Linked DNA regions of Arabidopsis thaliana. The protein of the gene in region 1 interacts with the protein of each later gene in a pairwise test. Each region holds a gene or a part of one and is shown in the gene's direction. Other genes may lie near its edges. The genes, in order: STY1, AT5G18037, AT4G05170 and AT5G62610.

Region 1 (5,151 bases):
GAGTGATAAGCAATTTTGTTTTATATAAACACTTGCCCCCAAAATAAAAATATTTTTTCTTTAATAATAAAAATAATAAATAACGACTTAGAAAAAAAGAAGAGAATGTTATGGACAAAAAAAGAGACTGTGGTTAGACTGAAAAACGCGTGCAGAGAGGCCGCGACAGTCTTATCATCAATTAAATTTCTTCTTAATTAGGGTATCCTAACTTGCATTTTACTCTCAGTTACGTTCTACACAGTATTACTTAATTATTCATATTATACACGTATAGGTTTTTAATGCATACGTGCAACGTTGACATGTAGAACAGATTTTGAAAAGAGAAATTGTTTAGTATAAGTGTTGTTTCGATAACATCCTAAGTTTCGTCATAGTCCAAATCTACTCCAGATTCATAGGCTTCTCAGTTCCATCCATCTCTTATTCAAATTCCATACAAATTAAAAGTTTTTTTTTGTGAAACTCCGTTATAAATTTTGTGTGTTGGTTGCTGGTTGGTTCTGCCTGAAACTATTATTCCGAAATGATGCTTATACTTATTTGACATTTATATATTTTTGTAATGTAGCAAATAAAGAATAGACTACTGGAGAAAAAAGGTCTTTTTTTTTTTTTTGTCAAAAGAGAAAAAAGGTCATTGTCTCGATTGTAATGTATCCATCACAACCCCTTGAATTAATTGATTCCCTCTATTAATCTAGTATACTCGAATATTTTGTGGTTTTTTACTTACCTCTAAAACTATATCGATATATAATGAACAACCTAACTATTGTTTTCAAATTGAGAGCAATAATAATCATTCGATTATTAACTTAAATTATTGGATTTGTAAATTAAATCAAGAACCGGTACGGAAGCGTAGGGCGGCGAGGCAATGCTTTTACCCTGTCTCAAACTATTCATTATTCCCATTTTGAATCTTAATACTTTTGAAATGTCTCATTTAACCCCTTCTACATTAGTCAACTCTCTCTACTCTTTTGGCAAAATCCTTTTAAACGTCCCCATCTTTTACTTTATTTTTATTTCATGTCCTAACTTTTTTATTTATATGACACCCATACATACTTCTCTAGATTTCGGATTTATCGGGACATATTTTTTCGTGCCGTTATTCTCAGGCAATTCAAAGGATAATACCTAAAAAAATACTCAGCTAATTATAATGATTAGTTAAATTAGGATCCATGATGCTCACGGCACGGGCATAGAGGTGTGTTTGTCTGTATATAAATTCTGTAAACATTTAGTAGTACTATTATACAAAAAGATAATGCAGTAACATAGGGCACCTCAACAAAATCGTACGTTTGTCTCTCTACAAGAGAGAGTATGTTTACGTGCATTTTTATTTATATATAAAATATTACTGTGATATACTACTAGTATATACAGAAATGTGTATATCATAATGTTTTTCGTTTCCTCGGAAACATGGACAAAAGCATCTGCTTTTCAGCTACAAACTTTAAACACTTAATTTAAGCCACAGGTGCACCCAAATTAATATTTTTTAAAAGAAGATTATGGGCTAATGGATGATTAATGCCTATAATTTGCAAATCCTCCTTACTTTAAAGTAAGTAGTTAGATTATTTAATCCACATGTTTATCTATTTGATGAGGATTTTTGAAACCTTGAAGTACCTTACATTTTTTCAGGCATTTTTAGTTTGCTGATGCTCCTAACTCGTAGACAATAATATATTTGCAGCATTTGTCACAATTAGTCTCATAGTCACTCATATATACACAAAATGAAATAAAAATGAATGGACCTATGGACTTTTGACAAGGTTTTGTAGTCAGTTCTAGATCATGATTAGGAGGTCTAATTAATAGGTCCCGAAATATATATAGAACTATCTTAGGATAATCAAAAATAGTATTCTGATACCGTAATGATATTATTTTTACTCCTTTTTAAGGAAAATTAGTTATTCACATTCCACCATTTATACATATAAAAATTTCATATATGTAAGAAAAAAAGAAGAAAGAAAAAAAGCGGGTTTCCCGGAATGAAAAGGACCAAGAGAGAAAAATCCATTTTATGCTAACGTGGCAGCATAATAACCGCCCGATTATATATCAACGATAAGAGATGAATTGTTTTCATTTTGTAACAACAAAACATGAGAGAAACAAAATTATATTTTTGCAAAATCTGGAAAAACAAAACAAAGAAACAAACAAATGAAGAAGAGATGAGAGGAGACAGAGAATTAAATTAGAGGAGCAGAAGAGAGAGAGAGAGAGATATAGAGATTAATAAGGTCATGGCGGCGTTGCAGAGCGCAAGAAAGATGATTTAAATCTCTCTTCTTCTTCTTCCTTCTTACATATCTCTGTGTGTTTCTTAAATACTCTCTCTCTCGTACCGACAAACAAGTTTTGCTTTTTCATCAGAGTCTCAAAAAGCTATTCCAACTTCAATACACTACAAACCCAGAGAATGAATTCAACCTAAAAACCCTAGAAATCCTCTAAGATCTAGAGTGAGAAAGTTAGAGTGTATAGAACTACAAAACATAGGATCTTTGGTTTTGGGTTTTGTTCCATTTTCTTGATTGGTTAGTGGGTGAGTGGTGGTTATGGGTGGTGGTTGTTGTCTTGGTGAATGGCGGGGTTTTTCTCGCTAGACGGTGGTGGAGGAGGAGGCGGAGGTGGAGGTAACAACCAAGAAGATCACCGGAGCAACACAAATCCTCCTCCGCCTGTATCAGAAGCTTGGCTCTGGTATAGAAACCCTAACGTTAACGCAAACGCAAACACAAACGTTAACGCAAACGCTCCTTCTTCGTCAAACGCTGCTTTAGGAACACTTGAGTTATGGCAAAACCACAATCAGCAAGAGATCATGTTTCAGCATCAGCAACATCAGCAAAGGTTGGATCTTTACTCTTCCGCCGCAGGTTTAGGTGTTGGACCAAGTAATCATAACCAATTCGATATCTCCGGCGAAACTTCAACCGCCGGCGCCGGAAGAGCTGCGGCGATGATGATGATTCGTAGTGGTGGTAGCGGAGGAGGAAGTGGTGGTGTGAGCTGTCAAGACTGTGGGAATCAAGCGAAGAAAGATTGTTCTCACATGAGGTGTAGAACTTGTTGTAAAAGCCGTGGCTTCGAGTGTTCTACTCACGTGAGAAGCACGTGGGTCCCTGCTGCTAAACGCCGTGAGAGACAACAGCAATTAGCTACGGTCCAGCCTCAAACTCAGCTGCCTCGCGGTGAGAGCGTTCCTAAACGCCACCGTGAAAATTTACCGGCAACTTCATCGTCTCTTGTCTGCACTCGCATACCTTCTCATTCAGGTATATGTCACTGTAATGTGAAATATTTATTTATGTGTATATAAATATATATGTTTATTATTATATGGTCGTGAGATAATGAAATGCAAGCAGCATTTTTTATAATTTATATAAGTAACGAATTGGGATCAGCTTCTAGAGTAAAAAAAGAAAAACCCTATTTTGATTTATAAGTTTTCCAAAATAAGTTTTGTTTTTTATTTTGTGATTTAATTGTGAAAATACTGTGTTGGAGTAAACACTGACTATTGGAATGACAGGAACAAGCTGTTCTCACAAATCTTGAAATCTGTGTTCTTTCTCTAATTCTCAGCTCCTTTTTCATAACCTTAATTTTGAAAGAAAAAATGAATATCAATGTTTTATTCTATTACGTATCTCTTAAACTTTTTTTTCTTACTCTAAATTCTAGGGCTAGAAGTTGGCAATTTCCCGGCGGAGGTGAGTTCATCGGCGGTGTTTAGGTGCGTGCGTGTGAGCTCAGTAGAAGATGGAGAAGAAGAGTTTGCTTACCAAACAGCTGTAAGCATTGGTGGTCACATTTTCAAAGGCATTTTATACGACCTCGGTCCTGGAAGTAGTGGTGGCGGAGGCTACAACGTTGTTGCCGCCGGTGAGAGCTCCTCTGGTGGTGGTGGAGCTCAACAGCTGAATCTCATAACAGCTGGCTCTGTAACCGTTGCTACCGCTTCTTCCTCTACTCCAAACCTCGGTGGTATTGGCAGCTCATCAGCCGCGGCAGCCACGTACATTGATCCAGCCGCTCTTTATCCAACTCCGATCAATACATTCATGGCCGGTACACAATTCTTTCCCAACCCAAGATCATGAGGAAAATCTGACATAAAAGCAACATAACTCTTTTGAATTCTTAGAATAGAATTAGGGTTTATAAACGTTAATTGTCGGATCATATTATATAAAAGAGTATGCAGAAGTGGGGAAGTGAATCTGTTTATGCTTCCCCTACTTTTAGACACTCAAAGTTGTTGCAAGTTTTAGGGGTTTTTAAATGGAAATTCAATTCAAATAATACCATTGTCTTTTTATATGGTTTTGTGAGGATATAGTGTTGTGTATCATTTAAATGTTAGGAGCACAATATAGCTCTTGTTGTCTGAATCTTTGTTTCATTAATGTGTCTGTTTCTTGTTTGTGAAACACGTAACCTTAGAATCCGGGGAAAATGTTTTTCATCTTTATATAACACCTTTTGTGTCTTCTTTCTTCTATTCAATATAAAGAAGAATTCATTACATTTGTACCATACATTATAGTACAATTTCATATTTTTCAACCCATTTTATTTTTTATTTTTTTCAACCATGGTTTCCGTTACGACAGAATATGGTCTGCCCATCCCATGCATTTAATGGTTTCTAAAGTGTATTATTTGTTAGTTACTAGTAATTGATGTATGCCATAATTGACATGTGATAGAATCAGAGAAGATGACTAGAAGAGCGACATGTATAGATGTGACATGAGGGTGCGTTCTACAATGTACGTTAATCCCAATTAGTTACTTCTCCCGCCGTTGCCCACACCATTAGTTCTTTCATTACTAGTTTACTATAATGATTTAGTTAATTTCTACTATCAGGTTTTTGATTTTTCTATTCTTTCACATTGACTAGAAGTCTTGAACAATACTACTAATCTTTCTCTATTTTAAAATAAGTCTTTTCATGATCTTGAGGGAATGTTTCTGTTTTAAAAAGGGTTTTTAATGATTTAAATGTAACGTTTGTCAAGAAATGATCTCATTGTCTCTTTAAAATTACTTAAATAGAAATTTAATATAAAATATAATTTAAAAGTTAACATC
Region 2 (3,594 bases), on another chromosome or scaffold:
AAATGAGACCAACATAGAGAGGTTCCACAACTAGGAGATACTTTCCAAGATCTCAGCTCTTGTTTAGTTGATAGATAAGCGTGGGATACAGAAGTCAACAAGCAGACCTGTTGGCTCTTTCACCTGAGACTCCTCGCCACCACCAAGCTGGACAAACATACGGCTCAAACACACTTTGACAAATGAAGTCTTCTTCTTGTAACATATCTTCACAGTAGCAACAGTTTTTCCCTCGGACTTATTCACTGCAACTATGATGACATCCCTAAGTCCAACATAGCGTGATTCCTTACGAGACAGGCTAGACAGGCCCTCGTAAACTCCCTACCACACAAAAAAAAAAGGTTGAATAAGATTAGATCAAAACTTTGTCATTGATCTTTGAAAATTTCGAAATTTATCTCACAACACTTTACCTCTCCAACATTATCAAGGTCTGGACTGAACACATGGAGTCTTGCACCCACCGGTTGTTTAATCAACAGCTTAAACGCTTCATCCAAACTCTTAGTCTCAATCACTTCTCCTTTCATGGGCACGCGGGGTATGTGACAAGCAAATGGGGGAGCCTTGAATGTACATCCCACATGTGCCCAATGTTCTCTTCTCGGTAGCCCTTTCTTGAAAGCACATTCAAGGCAGTCTTTGACAGTGAGTGGTTGCTCCCTCTCCCTGCACATCTTACCTCTTATTCCAGACATTTTCCACCATATACTGATGCAAGTTTTCGATAGTGAACTGAGAGCTTGGTTCATCCATTTCTCCCTGGTCGTCTTCCTTCCCAGCATTATCCACCAAATACTGAGCTGAGACGCATCTGCAAGACAAAAAAAAAATGAAAATGTTGTAGTCAATTCATATGACTCTTTCAAAGGATTAGACTATATTAAAAAGGGAGTAAACTACTATCAGCTAAAATCAATCACAGTATCTCTTAACGATGCGAATAAAGTAATGTTCTCTAGAACAAGATTTGATTCATTTACCGTAATCTTCTTGCTCACTACTTGCTTTTACGCAATCTGGATGACAGAGGCCACGCGTCTTTGCCATAGATTGCATGAATCGCTGAATCATATTCATCTTCGATTACTTATCCCTGGTTTCAAGTAGAATCCAGCAGAAGAACACATTCAGAAATCCAGTAGAGTCAAGCAGATAAGGCAAAAGGAAAAACAAAAACAAGACCTAACTAGCGAAAACCATAAACATGGTTTCAAGTTTTGACATAAACACAACCATTTCTAGTTGCAGAGGAAAAATCGTCGAACAAGAAGCTTTAGAGTAAACCAAAGTAACAATGATAGCTTCCATTAACAAAGAACAACTCTAACGTTAAAAAGGATTCAAATCATTCATCCAAAAAAAAAAGTTCAAACCCTAAAGTTTATCTCTGTTCACTAATAGCACTGAGAAAGGCCAAGTCACGGAGTAGAATCGGTAACAAATCCAAAACAAGCTAAAAGAATCCAACAGAGAGAGAAAATTGAGAGAAATTACCGGAGACACAGAGAGACGAGAATCAGAAGGAGAAGACATTCGCAATCGCCGTCGCGTCGAGAGAAACTCAGAGAATGTTCGCGAAACAAACTCTCACAGTCGTCGCGAAGATTTCCCCTCAGCTTTGTCCCGAAACGTGTCGCCTTTTTAAGACTTCAACTTTAGTCCTCAAGACGACGACGTTTGAAACTTTCCTTAAAACGTTGCCGTTTTTATGACATTGCCAATGTTTTTAAAAGTCTTTTTAACAACATCGTTTTTGCCTGTTTATTTAAGGGCAACAATTATAGTTTAACAACAATTTTCTTTTAGGCTCCAATGATGATGATCCAACATTTTGTTTTTCCGAGTTAGACATCGACTTATTCGTTGTAAATAGATTTTTTCTCTTTCTTCTTGAAAGAGTACTTGTTCTAAAAGTTTAGAGAGTGGATACCATTTTTTGTGCAACCGATCACGATCATGTCAATGCATTTTTTGGAGAGCAAGAAAATATTTGAGGCATAAGCTTCTTCAAGTACTAATACAAGTATCTCTCCATATCAGAAGAGCAAGAAATCTTCCAGTCTTTGAACATTATTTAGATAAGTAAAAGAATAATCTTGTTTTTTAGTTTGTAAAAAGATATAAGACAAAATAAGTTTAAAAAGAAAATAGTAGACAAAATATCATACGCTAAAACCAACATTACAAATTTGAAAAGAAAAAATGTGATATTGGCTTACTTATCTAATTTTAAGAATATTGGCTTTGAATTACATGGATATATTTCCTTTTTAAAGAATCGTTTTCCTAATATATTAAAAATCCTTAAAATCCACATATATATACGAAATCACCTTTTCTATTTGTCTACCTGAAAGTTTCAAGTCTTCAACGCGTTTATTATTGTTTTTCAGTTTTGCTCTAAAGATCATTTGTTGTTCCCCTTGGATTATTGCTATAATATATAGATCCTTAACTTTTTGTCTGATTTGCGTTTTCTTTGTCTCATAGAACAAGAAAAGAATATGTCGATGGTTAAGTACTACGATAAAGAGGAACATGTTGGGTTTTGGTTTCATCCTTCTGCCCAAGAACTCATCATCCGTTATATCGGGCCTAAGGTTACCAAAAGATCAAATAAAGAATTTGAATTAGAAGACAAGTTTGACATCTATGCCAAAGAGCCGTGGCGGTTGTCTCACACCGAGACTAACTTTTTGGAACCTAATGAATGGTTCTAGTTCGTGAAAGTGAATCATCTCTCTGAAAACGTTACTGGAAAACGCATCAGCCGCAAAGTCAAAGGAGAGACGGTTGATGGATGTTGGAAAGGCCATGGGAAGTTGAGTGATGTCGTGTTGGAAGATACCGGTGCAGTGATTGGGAAGAAGTCTAAGTTTCTACGTCAAAGGTGAGAGACAAGCCAGTGGTTGGACCATGACAGAATACTATCTCGAAAACGGTGGCTCATTATTCCATGTTCAAGTTCTCTGCCACCTTAAAGGACCATGATTATGTGTCTTGGTAAATTTTCAGTGAAGAGGATAATAACTTCTACTTCTATCTTATTTTACTTCAATTTTGTGTCTAGTTTGATATTTCCCTTTGCATAATTTATTTAAATTCCTCATAAAAACTTTAGGAAAATCTCGTATATTCTTGTTTATTTAAAGACATGTAGATCATTATTTTTATGAGGAGTTTGTAACTGCTCACCTTCTTGTTTTCACAAACGAAAAAATATTTTCTTGTTTTGAGGATCAAAGAGATTATCTCATCTAATATATGAGATATTAATAATGATCAGGCCCATCCATGCCTATGAAGGAAAAAGAGAAACTTTGGCCTACGAAATGGATAAGAAATTGGTTAAATTAATGGGAGATTTGCAAAACTATATTTTTTGACTACCTTTTTGCCATAATACTCTTTTATATTATTTATTTTTAAAAATATCTTTTTTCTTGAACAGAATGACCAAATTACCCTCATTTAATAATAACAAGTACTTGGAAACTTTCAATTTCCCGCCAAAAAAAAAAATTCCGGCAAACTTTTTTTCCCGCCAAAAAAAAACTTTTCCGCCAAAAATTTTTCTCGTAAAATTTT
Region 3 (4,467 bases), on another chromosome or scaffold:
GTCAAAGGCCGAGGACACTTAAACCATTAACACTTTTATAAGTTTTTATTCTTCTTCTTGTTAATCGCTTCACTTTTTCTAAGTGTTCTTCCCACTCCACGCGCGAGATAATCTAAACTTTAGATTTTAATTAGGTATAATGATATAACAAATTTCATGATATGACAAGGAGGAGGTTAGACCATGGTCGTTTAATTGTCATGTCCTATAAGTCAACAAAGAAGTTTTTGTATGTGCTTAAGGTTTAAACGTCATATGGTTGACCGAAACTTTAATTAGCTTTTAAAGATTCTATCAAACGGAAGTCACATCCAAATTTACTTTGATCTCTATAAATTAAAGAACACTTACCAGTTACCAAACCTAAAATACACTATATTTCTAAATCTAATCAAATCTTAAACTCTACAACTACAGTTTGATGACATGATTTAAAAAAATTATGATGAGATCGATAGTACTATATGGACTTTTTCAAACTAAACTAAGTCTTACTTTAACAGGAAAAACTTATAATTAAGTAGTTAGACATGTTTAGTTTAGGGATTATGTATCCCTCGAAGCCAAATTGACTTAGACCGCAAAGCTGATTATTTTATAAAAAGAAAGGAAAAAAGTAGATATACATATAATAATCATATAATATGAGATTAGATAGGTTAACCAAATATTTCAATTAACTAATAGTGGAATTGTGGTTAAGGAGTCAAATCAGATGACATGAGCATATATTGTATGTATATTAAAAGAAGATTTGGGAACATTTCCAAAGTAAAAATGAAGACAACCCCTAAAACCCAAGAGAATTCGATTGGGTGGTATGACTTAATCCACACAAAACGTATTTACCTATTACTAATTGTACTTATATGTCAACAGTTGACTTATTGTTATTTATTTATTCATGTGAATTTCCTCTTATTCATTTATTTCGAATCACCTTTTATGTCCTTTTTGTTATATTTTTTTTTTTGCAACATTTATTATTAACACCAGACCAAACCGTTTCAGATTTTTTTTTCTTTTTTGATAAACTCTATCGGCTGATCCGCTCAGTCCCGGTAAACACGCACTAAAATACTTCAGAGTGGACTTCTCTCCAAAAAACTACCACACTGTTTCAAAATTCCTTGCAAGATTTTGTCAAATAATATTTTTTTTTTTTAAATCGAAATCGGTATTTCTGTAGTCTAATGTTATTAATTTGTGCACATTTTTAAACGTAAAATTAGAAGAAAACCAAATAAATAGAGATTACCTAACCATTTTAAAAAGAAAACCTTTCACCAAAATCCAAATATCCTTTTTGCTTTATCTAATTCCTTCAAACATGAATATTTTCAAATCATTCCAAAAAAGTAGATATTCGTGTTTTTATTAAACAATAAAACTTGTTCAACGTGGACATTTAGTTTAGCCTATCAAGAGCAAATATATAATTCTGATTTACGAAAGAGATATTTGCATTGTGTTACAATATTCTTACCTTTTAAATCAATTCAGAATTTTTTTTTTCTTTAATTTTGTCAAACATGTTTTACAAAAGCATATTAACGTAAAATACTTTTTGATTATTTTTTATTTTATTTATATCCTGTCAACTTCCTGTTCCTGTATTTAGTATTTGCAAATGATTTTTAATAAATAGATTACTCTATAATTTAACGTAAACACGAACACAAGAGTGTGTCCAATGAGATGCGTTATTTTCATAATCATCAATAGGTATAGAGACGTATTATGGTTAAGAGGGTAGCTAGATATATTATTTAGTAATTGTAGTTTTCCGTTTAAATTATAATTTTGATGGACTCATGCCTACATATAAATACACTATGTAATAAACATCATGTCTCATGCAACTTCGACATTAAATTCCAAAGTAAACTACACAATTAAGAACATGACGGAAGAGTTTGAGATCGCAGGAATCTCCACCGGAGCTTGGTGGAGCTCGCCAACAAACACCGCCGCAGTATTCTCTGGCTACTCGCTGCCATGTTCCACTGAGATTAGCCCTGATGTCACAAATTTCGGATGGCAAAACTTCGATAACAAGATTAACGATCATAATGATGGTTGTATGAACATGTAAGTCCACATGCATACATACATTAACATACAAAGTAATAATATTGAACTTTCTTAAATTTATATTCTTTCTTTTATATTTCTTGTAGGCATAATAGTTTCTTCGAAGGACTATTAATCGATCCTAACGATCAATTACTACCGGATCCATGGTCCAAAAGTACAATTCCTAACGCTAAATCTGAGCTCCTTGAAAACTTCCCATTCTTAGATAACATGTTCTTGGTCGATTCAGAAGCTGAATCTTTGTTGGATCATGAAATCAGAAACCATAAGTCGTCTAAGGAGCAAATTACACAAGACTACAAGAATCTTACTTCAAAGGCACGTAACAAACATAAAAACCTAACTATTTTTGTTGTGACTAATACTTAGAGGTAATTAACATTACAAAAGATGTGATGATTCTTTCAGAGGAGTGAAGAATTAGAAGAGAACAGCGATGAGTATTCACCGCGATTACTAAAAAGACCGAGACTCGAGACACTATCTCCATTGCCAAGCTTCAAAGTTCGTAAAGAAAAACTCGGAGATAGAATCACTGCGCTTCAGCAACTGGTTTCTCCATTTGGCAAGGTAAATTAAAACAACATTACTCTAAGTATTTTACGCATGTTTAATCTTTGATTTCTTCTTATTTAAGCTCAAAAGATTTGTCTTCTAAACTCTTTGCAGACAGATACAGCTTCTGTTCTCAACGAAGCTGTAGAGTACATAAAGTTTCTTCAAGAACAAGTCACTGTAAGTTCAGATTCTTGATTTTTCATTTGCAGTCAAAATCAAATCAATTAATTAACAATTCGTTTGATTCTTTAATTTAAAAATTAGGTATTGAGTAATCCAGAACAGAACACCATAGGATCTGTTCAACAACAGCAGGTACTTAAAAATTAGTTATATGTTATAACAACTCTCTTTTCTTGTCCTTTTGCTTGTGACATCAAGAATCTTTTCAAAACTAATCATCACCAATTAATGATTCGTATAATTAATAGTGTTCAAACAAGAAATCTATCAATACTCAAGGAGAAGTAGAAGAAGACGAATGTAGTCCAAGAAGATATGTAGATCTTTCGAGCCGTGGACTATGTCTAATGCCGATCTCAGCTTCATATCCCGTGGCTGCAGCTGCGGCTTCGGCTGCAGAGATGAACGTACATCTGGTTTCTGGCATCTTCCATTCTTTGTAAACTTATAAACTAAATACGTAGATACATAAACAAACAAAGTAATCTTCCGCAAACAGGGGATCTTGTAAAGTTTTATGTCCCTTTTTAATTTATACAGAAATGTAAATGTCCTGTAATACTTCAAAATCATATATTGTTTGTTTGCGTACGTTTACTATTTTTCTCTAAATGAACCTACTATTTGAAGCAAAATAAATTTGTTAATTATAAACGTAAATGTCAAACTAAACCGAAGGTTTTGCATTTGGATTATAAAATACAATATAAAAACCTGCAAATAATTTTTTTTTTTTTTTTTGAATAAACCTGAAGTTTAGTGTATGTTGCACAACGGTTTAAATTGAGGCCAACCAGAAAATGTTTAATTCCTTTGTAAATGAAAATTTCTCATCTAAATACGAATTAGATAATCGTATTGCCGGCCTTAAAAATATGTGGATTCCAAAGTAAATGTATATATAACCCATTAGTTTAACTAGAAAAAGGTTTTATATAATTAGCCTCTTTTCGATCTCTTATTGCTTTTTTTTTCCTTCTTTTTGTATTAGATTTCTTTCTCGAAGTTTTAACACTCGAGCAGACCATTTAGCAAAAAAAGCTAAGAGTAGAAATGTTTTTTTTCTCATGTAAGCACGTCGGTTCCCGAATGACTCTTCCTAGCGGATAATTTTTTTCTAATAACTTAATAAAAATAGTATTTGACTGGAAAAGAGGGGCATCTCAAACCTTCCACCTACAAACCCTTTACCAACCTTTCTAAACAATATTAGCGGCCCTTAGATGATGAAAGAATTTGAGGTTCCAAGCTCAACTTTTCCAGCTTGAACTCAGAGCCAACCCTGCATGAACATTACGTGTAAACCAATTGATGAGTCCCAAATAATTGACTTTTTCAGTTGGAAGATTCTTAGCAAACTGCAAAGTAATGTTGTGTACTTTATTATTTTAGCTTGTATGATCAAGAGATTTGGAAATAGGAGAAGGTGAGGTTTAACAAGAAACACTTTATACCAAAAATAGCTACTTTGTGTCCATTGGTACAACTTCTAAGACCATCTCCAATGTAAATATCTATTACTAGAGATTCTAAGACCATCTCCAATGTAAATATCTATTACTAGAGAGAAACTCTCCTAACGTTAACTATAGTCTTAGCATACCTCATTATCTAGTTTCATTTTCTCCA
Region 4 (5,930 bases), on another chromosome or scaffold:
ATCAACTACAACCATTCTTACTAATTAGTATCCCCAACAAAAACACCAAGAAAAACAACAGATGAAAGATAAATGCTTTTGAACATATCTACACTAACCAGTCTCTTCATCATCCCTAGATCTCCATCCTTCACATCTTTGTGCTGAGCCCCATTGCATTCTATAGCAAGTGTTCTGCTCAATCACAGGCTTACCACTCCAATCACCCTTAAGCCTTGGATTCAAGTGGAGTATCCGAGGTGGCTCTTCTCCTTCCACTGCTTTCAAACCCTGAAGCTCCAACTTAAACTGTGAAACCTTCACAGCTTCATCTCCTTCCTTTAACATCGATATCTTAGGGTCCTTCTCCGAATGAGCAGCTCGTGGCTTCCCAACCACTGTAATATGTGACCCAAGAGTTAAACCACATGGAAGCTCCATGATATTCCCACGTTTCAAAAGATCAGACCCGGTTAAGGAAACAGAGAGAGAACACGAGTTTGTCCCATGTTCCTCAATCTTCTTCTTCTTCTCCTTCTCCAAAGCTTTCAACGTTTTCCCAGACTCAAGCTCTTCCCATATCTTTCGACCAACTTCCCAAGCTACCTTAGCAGATTTATGAAGCTCCACAGACCCATCTTTGCTACTCGGGTTAAACGTTTCCGGGTCGAATCTCAAACTAGAAAGGATCCGAGTCCTTCTTCTTAAACCCTGAGCCGGTGATTCCGATTGTGATTCCTGGTAAAGCAGACTCTTTAAAGGTCGAGTCGGAGCTCGTCTCTCTTGTAACTCTCTCTGACTATTGTGCTTCTCGGGTCGGGTTAACGGATCCTGAGATAAAGAACTAAGCCCGGTTTTGAAGACGAAAGGGATTTCGAATGTGATAAGAAGCATGTAGAGTAACCCAACCGCCATTAGTATCTGAACCGATCTCTGCTTGCTTAGAGAAACGAAAATGTCGAATTTCTCTAACCTCTCGAGTTTTGACAACTTGGGCTTCCTCATTCCTAAATTATACGAAGAAAAATCCAAACTTTTTTTTAACTGGAAACAGAAAACCCTAGTGATGATGATCAAAGAGGAACAGAATCTCAAAATTCAAAATTTCAAAAAACAAATAAAAATCAAATCTTGAGAGATTACGATGAACGGAGACAATCAGTAGATTGGTGGGTTACTATAAATTCTGAAAAACCCTTTGAACACGAAGAGAGAAAATTCAAGAACTTTCTATGGAAAAGACAAATCTTTAGTGAGAAAATTCAAAACCCGAAAGAAACGTAAAGTCGAAAATTTAAATCTTTAGAGAGACGTGTAAAATCGTAAGATGAACAGAAACGCGTCAGGAGAATTTGGAGAAGGAAGCAGCAAGGGGAAGAGTTAAAGCTCTCTCCTCTTTCTTAGTTAGTGCTGCTGACGTCTGAATAAACCGCCGTTTTGGTCCATCTCTCTCTCTCTCTTTTTCGAATCTTTTCTTCGCTTTTAAATCTTCTCTTTTTCCTTATTTTATTTAGTTTTCGATTAAAGTTATAGATTCGTTGGATTTATCTTTTCAAATTAAAGTAATTTTATTATTCTAGATGATTATTTCCACCACCAGTAGAATAAAAAGGAAAAACGTTATGTTTTTGTCGAATTTTAATCTTATAATTGAAGTAATAAGATTTTTAAGGTTAAGCAAATCGACCAAAAAAACAAATCGAAAAGGTTGTCTTGATTACACGAGACAGAATGTGAAATTATTAGTTAATTAGTACTATATGATTTATAAATTAAAAAAAAACAATAATAGTAGATGGAATCATATGTATTTGATTGTTTAGTAGATATGATTCTTATTTTGAAATTTAAACTATTATTGATTAATGTCTACTTAGTCGGTGCTAAATCGGCCAACTGTGTCATTCCATCACCAATGAAGTCACATAGTACTCCTATGCTCATGTTTTTATTTTTGACTTTTCTCTCTATTAATTTTCTTAATTTCATGACCAAACTGAAATGAACAGAAGAAATTGATAACAAAAAAATAGTGTTTCTTGTTTTTTTATTAGAGGTATCTTGATGAGTAGAGCAAAAAAGCTTTATGGGAAAAATGGAAAGAGAGGAATTGGGCTTCATGTGTGACACCTTTGCATCCAGGTGTCTTCTCTTTCTACACTTGTCTTTTCCACCTTTTCATTATTTCATCAAAATATAAACATATTCCACTTAATTCGATAATAAAATTAATAATTAAAAAAGTTTTGCAGAAAAACATCAATTTCTAATTTGTTGGTCTTTAAACAATTTTCTTGCTACACATTTAGAGCATTCAATGCTATAGAATTGACTTTTAAAAGTTTTAACTCAGTGAATAGTTTTAGAGCTTTTTTGTTTGTTATATACTGTATTCTTAAAAACGTTTGATATCTCTGTATTCATCATTCAAAAATACAAACTTTTATAATAAACACAACAAATGAAGGTTGAAATCATCGAAACGAAAAATGACACTCTTGGCTCCTTGTATTTTTCCGCAACTACCTTGAACATGTCATCTACCAAAAAGGCTAAAACTACATTGAACATAATAAAACTATAGCTTCTGAATTTTTAAAAATTTAACGTGAAGAACGTTGACATGCAAACAAAAAGACTAAAACACATGTCATCTATCCTTCATATTAGCGTTTTATATATTTAGCTAGAATTTTGGCTTTTGTGATTAAGCATTTAAAATTTAAATATATGGCCCATTGTCACATCCTCGATCGTATCCTACGTACCGGTGTGTGGTTCCCTTCACTTTACACAACTAACTTTCATAAAACATATGACTATGAAGTGGGAGATCTATGTTAAATAAAAAAACACTAATTGGTGAATATTATTGTAAACATAGGCGATCGAGTACTTACTAGGATGGACATATGGTACGAAGATCAAATTTTTAATCCAAACATATACGTTTTTTCCTTAAACACGTCAGAATGAAATTACCAAAGTAACATGATTTGGTTTTGCTAGTATGTATTTTTTTCTAAGAGAGATGCATTGTCCTTTGGTGTATTTAAGTTGTTCACAGTAAAATTACCAAAGTTGTTCACAGTAAAAAATAATTTAATCAAAGGATAACTAAAAGACATAATTGTGAGATTTTTATTTTTTATTTTTGATAGAAATTATTTAGGTTATTGCGCCATAATATATCTTTTCTATTCAATTTTGTTTCTAAACGAAACGAAAATTTTACCATTGTAATATTTTTTTTATAACAGAAACGGCAAAATATTTGATGTAAGCTGTGTAATTAATGAGATTTTCTGAAAGTATTGGTGATAAATCATCTTCCATTGCATACTAGTGGCGCATTATCACTACCCACATCTGTCTTACCTTCTCCGATCTCTCTCTCTATTTGTCCACCTCACACACAACCCTATAAACAAGACAAGACCTCGCAAAGCTCAAACCTTTTCCTTCTTTTTTTCTATCAAGTTCCTCACTTCTCGGATCCGGGTCCTAAATCTGGGTCAACCCTTTTTACGATCATCGGAAATGGACCCTCCACTAGTGAACGATTCCTCCTTCTCTGCAGCTAATCCTTCTTCTTACACTCTCTCCGAGATTTGGCCTTTCCCTGTAAACGACGCCGTTCGCTCTGGTCTCCGTTTAGCTGTTAACTCCGGTCGAGTCTTTACTCGCTCTGAACATTCCGGCAATAAAGACGTCTCCGCGGCTGAGGAATCTACAGTCACCGATCTAACTGCTGGCTGGGGAAGTAGAAAGACTAGAGATTTGAACTCTGAGGATGATTCTTCAAAGATGGTTTCTTCCAGCAGCAGTGGTAATGAATTGGTGAGATTTTGCACTTCAATTTTTGAAAAGTCCTGATTTTTATTTGTTGGGTCTTTTGAATGTTTGAATCTAGATCCTTTAGCTTGGTGGTGATCTAAAAATCAATGAGTCAAAGTTTAAGTCTTTGGTTTAGGGATCAAGGATTAGTTTATAGATTAGATGACTTATCTCCATTGACTTTTTGACTTAAGTTGGATTCAGCTTGAAGACCATTAGTTTGATAGATGTTGGAATGGTCAATGCTTACTTAGTGATCTTAGATTGAGAGTTTGATTTAGGATCTTAAAGCTTTCCATCTGTTTACTTTTTTAATAGAAAGAATCAGGGGATAAGAAAAGAAAACTGTGTGGATCTGAAAGTGGAAATGGAGATGGTTCGATGAGACCTGAAGGCGAAACAAGTTCGGGTGGTGGTGGAAGCAAAGCAACGGAACAGAAGAACAAACCTGAGCCACCAAAGGATTATATTCATGTGAGAGCAAGAAGAGGACAAGCTACTGACCGGCATAGTTTAGCAGAGCGAGTAATTCTTCTGCTAAAATCACCATAAATTTTATCCTCAAAAACTGTTCCTTTTATTAGAATCACAATGTTGTCTTTGACAGGCTAGAAGAGAAAAGATCAGTGAGAAGATGACAGCTCTTCAAGATATAATTCCAGGATGTAATAAGGTACATGTTCTTTTGGTCCCTGCTTGTGAATGATGTTATTATAGCCTAAAAAACATTCAACAAGATATTTCTGTTGATCAGATAATCGGAAAAGCCCTTGTGCTCGATGAGATTATCAATTATATTCAGTCATTGCAGCGGCAAGTTGAGGTAAAAGTCGTTAACACCTCTCTGTTATATGTTACAATTATACATGCCTAAGCATGGAGTTTGGTCTGCAGTTTCTATCAATGAAGCTAGAAGTTGTTAACTCGGGTGCAAGTACTGGTCCGACAATAGGAGTTTTTCCTTCCGGTGATGTAAGTCCCAAATCTAAAAGAACATAGAAAAATCTTATCTTTCTTAATCAAAGCTACTAAATCTAAAAGCTCTTGGTGTGTTGTATCAGCTCGGGACTTTACCGATTGACGTTCATCGAACAATATACGAGCAACAAGAAGCTAATGAAACCCGAGTATCTCAACCGGAGTGGCTCCATATGCAGGTTGATGGGAACTTTAACCGAACCACATAAAAAAGAGTCTTTCTCTGATTGATGGATGTGTTTTGTAGGCAGTAAAAATGAATGCAACCCTTTATTTTTTATCCTATGCGTGTGTATCATTTTGCTGTTATATCATAAGATAGAATATGAGAGTGACCAGAGAGATTAACACTTTATAAAACATTGTTGTATTGTCCTATTATATAACTTGTAACAATTGATTCAGTAACATATGTTGGTCTTAAATCTTGTCCTTTGTATAATCTTTATGTTATGATGAATCAATGATACGTTTTTTTTGTTGTCTTCAATTTATTGCAACAACTGAAAAAAAGTAAACAACTTCTGTCTTCAAAATAAAAGAAGAAGGATTTGACTTTAAGTCAAAGTAATTGTATCTAACGGCTGAGATTCTCTCTTCTTCATCCTCTTTCAGATCAAAATTCGATCTCTATCTCTCTTCCTCACTCAAGTTGAGGGGCGCCAAAAAAAAACCTTTTTGACAAAGAGGGAAAAAAAAAGTTTTTATTTTTATTGTTTTTGTTGGGCGAAATCGATTTGACAAAATCCCGAATTTCAGTTGGGCAAATTCTTCTATTTCTCAATCTGGGTCTTTCTCTCTGGTCGTGATTTGGTGACCGTACGAGCGAATAACGCGTAAAGATTCATAGCTATGGAGCATCAGAACGCGGTCAAAGAAGCCCTAAACGCACTGTATCATCACCCGGATGATACAGTGCGTGTGCACGCTGATCGCTGGCTTCAGAACTTCCAAGGAACTCTCGATGCTTGGCAGGCGAGTTTTTTCTTTTCGATTTCAATTATTTAATCTCGATTTGTTTAGGTTCGATTTGTTCTTCCTTGTTTTGTAGCACTTGTGCTAGAGTTTAATGTTCGATTTTCAGCTACTGTAGACCATATAGGTGCATAAAGTTTCATCCTTTAGTCAATTTGTAT

What was found.
Region 2: the proteins of STY1 (region 1) and AT5G18037 interact in a two-hybrid assay, tested with the Arabidopsis thaliana proteins (one large-scale study listed by BioGRID).
Region 3: the proteins of STY1 (region 1) and AT4G05170 interact in a two-hybrid assay, tested with the Arabidopsis thaliana proteins (one large-scale study listed by BioGRID).
Region 4: the proteins of STY1 (region 1) and AT5G62610 interact in a two-hybrid assay, tested with the Arabidopsis thaliana proteins (one large-scale study listed by BioGRID).

What each region holds. Positions count from the first base shown.
Region 1 is NC_003074.8:18,961,977-18,967,127, forward strand, and holds STY1 (Lateral root primordium (LRP) protein-like protein), read left to right. Parts: upstream 1-2,152; 5' UTR 2,153-2,629; coding exon 2,630-3,323; intron 3,324-3,735; coding exon 3,736-4,154; 3' UTR 4,155-4,429; downstream 4,430-5,151. UniProt on the Arabidopsis thaliana protein: Transcription activator that binds DNA on 5'-ACTCTAC-3' and promotes auxin homeostasis-regulating gene expression (e.g. YUC genes), as well as genes affecting stamen development, cell expansion and timing of flowering.
Region 2 is NC_003076.8:5,970,445-5,974,038, reverse strand, and holds AT5G18037 (NAC (No Apical Meristem) domain transcriptional regulator superfamily protein), read left to right. Parts: upstream 1-2,472; 5' UTR 2,473-2,510; coding exon 2,511-2,726; 3' UTR 2,727-2,938; downstream 2,939-3,594. Other genes in the region: AT5G18040 (target of trans acting-siR480/255 protein), read right to left, coding at 64-324, 417-817, 987-1,083.
Region 3 is NC_003075.7:2,666,804-2,671,270, reverse strand, and holds AT4G05170 (basic helix-loop-helix (bHLH) DNA-binding superfamily protein), read left to right. Parts: upstream 1-1,829; 5' UTR 1,830-1,849; coding exon 1,850-2,091; intron 2,092-2,180; coding exon 2,181-2,415; intron 2,416-2,505; coding exon 2,506-2,667; intron 2,668-2,766; coding exon 2,767-2,832; coding exon of another isoform or gene 2,833-2,850; exon of another isoform or gene 2,851-2,919; coding exon 2,920-2,970; coding exon of another isoform or gene 2,971-2,985; exon of another isoform or gene 2,986-3,086; coding exon 3,087-3,281; 3' UTR 3,282-3,473; downstream 3,474-4,467.
Region 4 is NC_003076.8:25,132,190-25,138,119, reverse strand, and holds AT5G62610 (basic helix-loop-helix (bHLH) DNA-binding superfamily protein), read left to right. Parts: upstream 1-2,054; 5' UTR 2,055-2,121; intron 2,122-3,213; exon of another isoform or gene 3,214-3,239; 5' UTR 3,240-3,519; coding exon 3,520-3,819; intron 3,820-4,134; coding exon 4,135-4,341; intron 4,342-4,423; coding exon 4,424-4,489; intron 4,490-4,570; coding exon 4,571-4,639; intron 4,640-4,710; coding exon 4,711-4,788; intron 4,789-4,877; coding exon 4,878-5,003; 3' UTR 5,004-5,272; downstream 5,273-5,930. Other genes in the region: AT5G62620 (Galactosyltransferase family protein), read right to left, coding at 1-5, 99-984; MOS14 (ARM repeat superfamily protein), read left to right, coding at 5,647-5,769.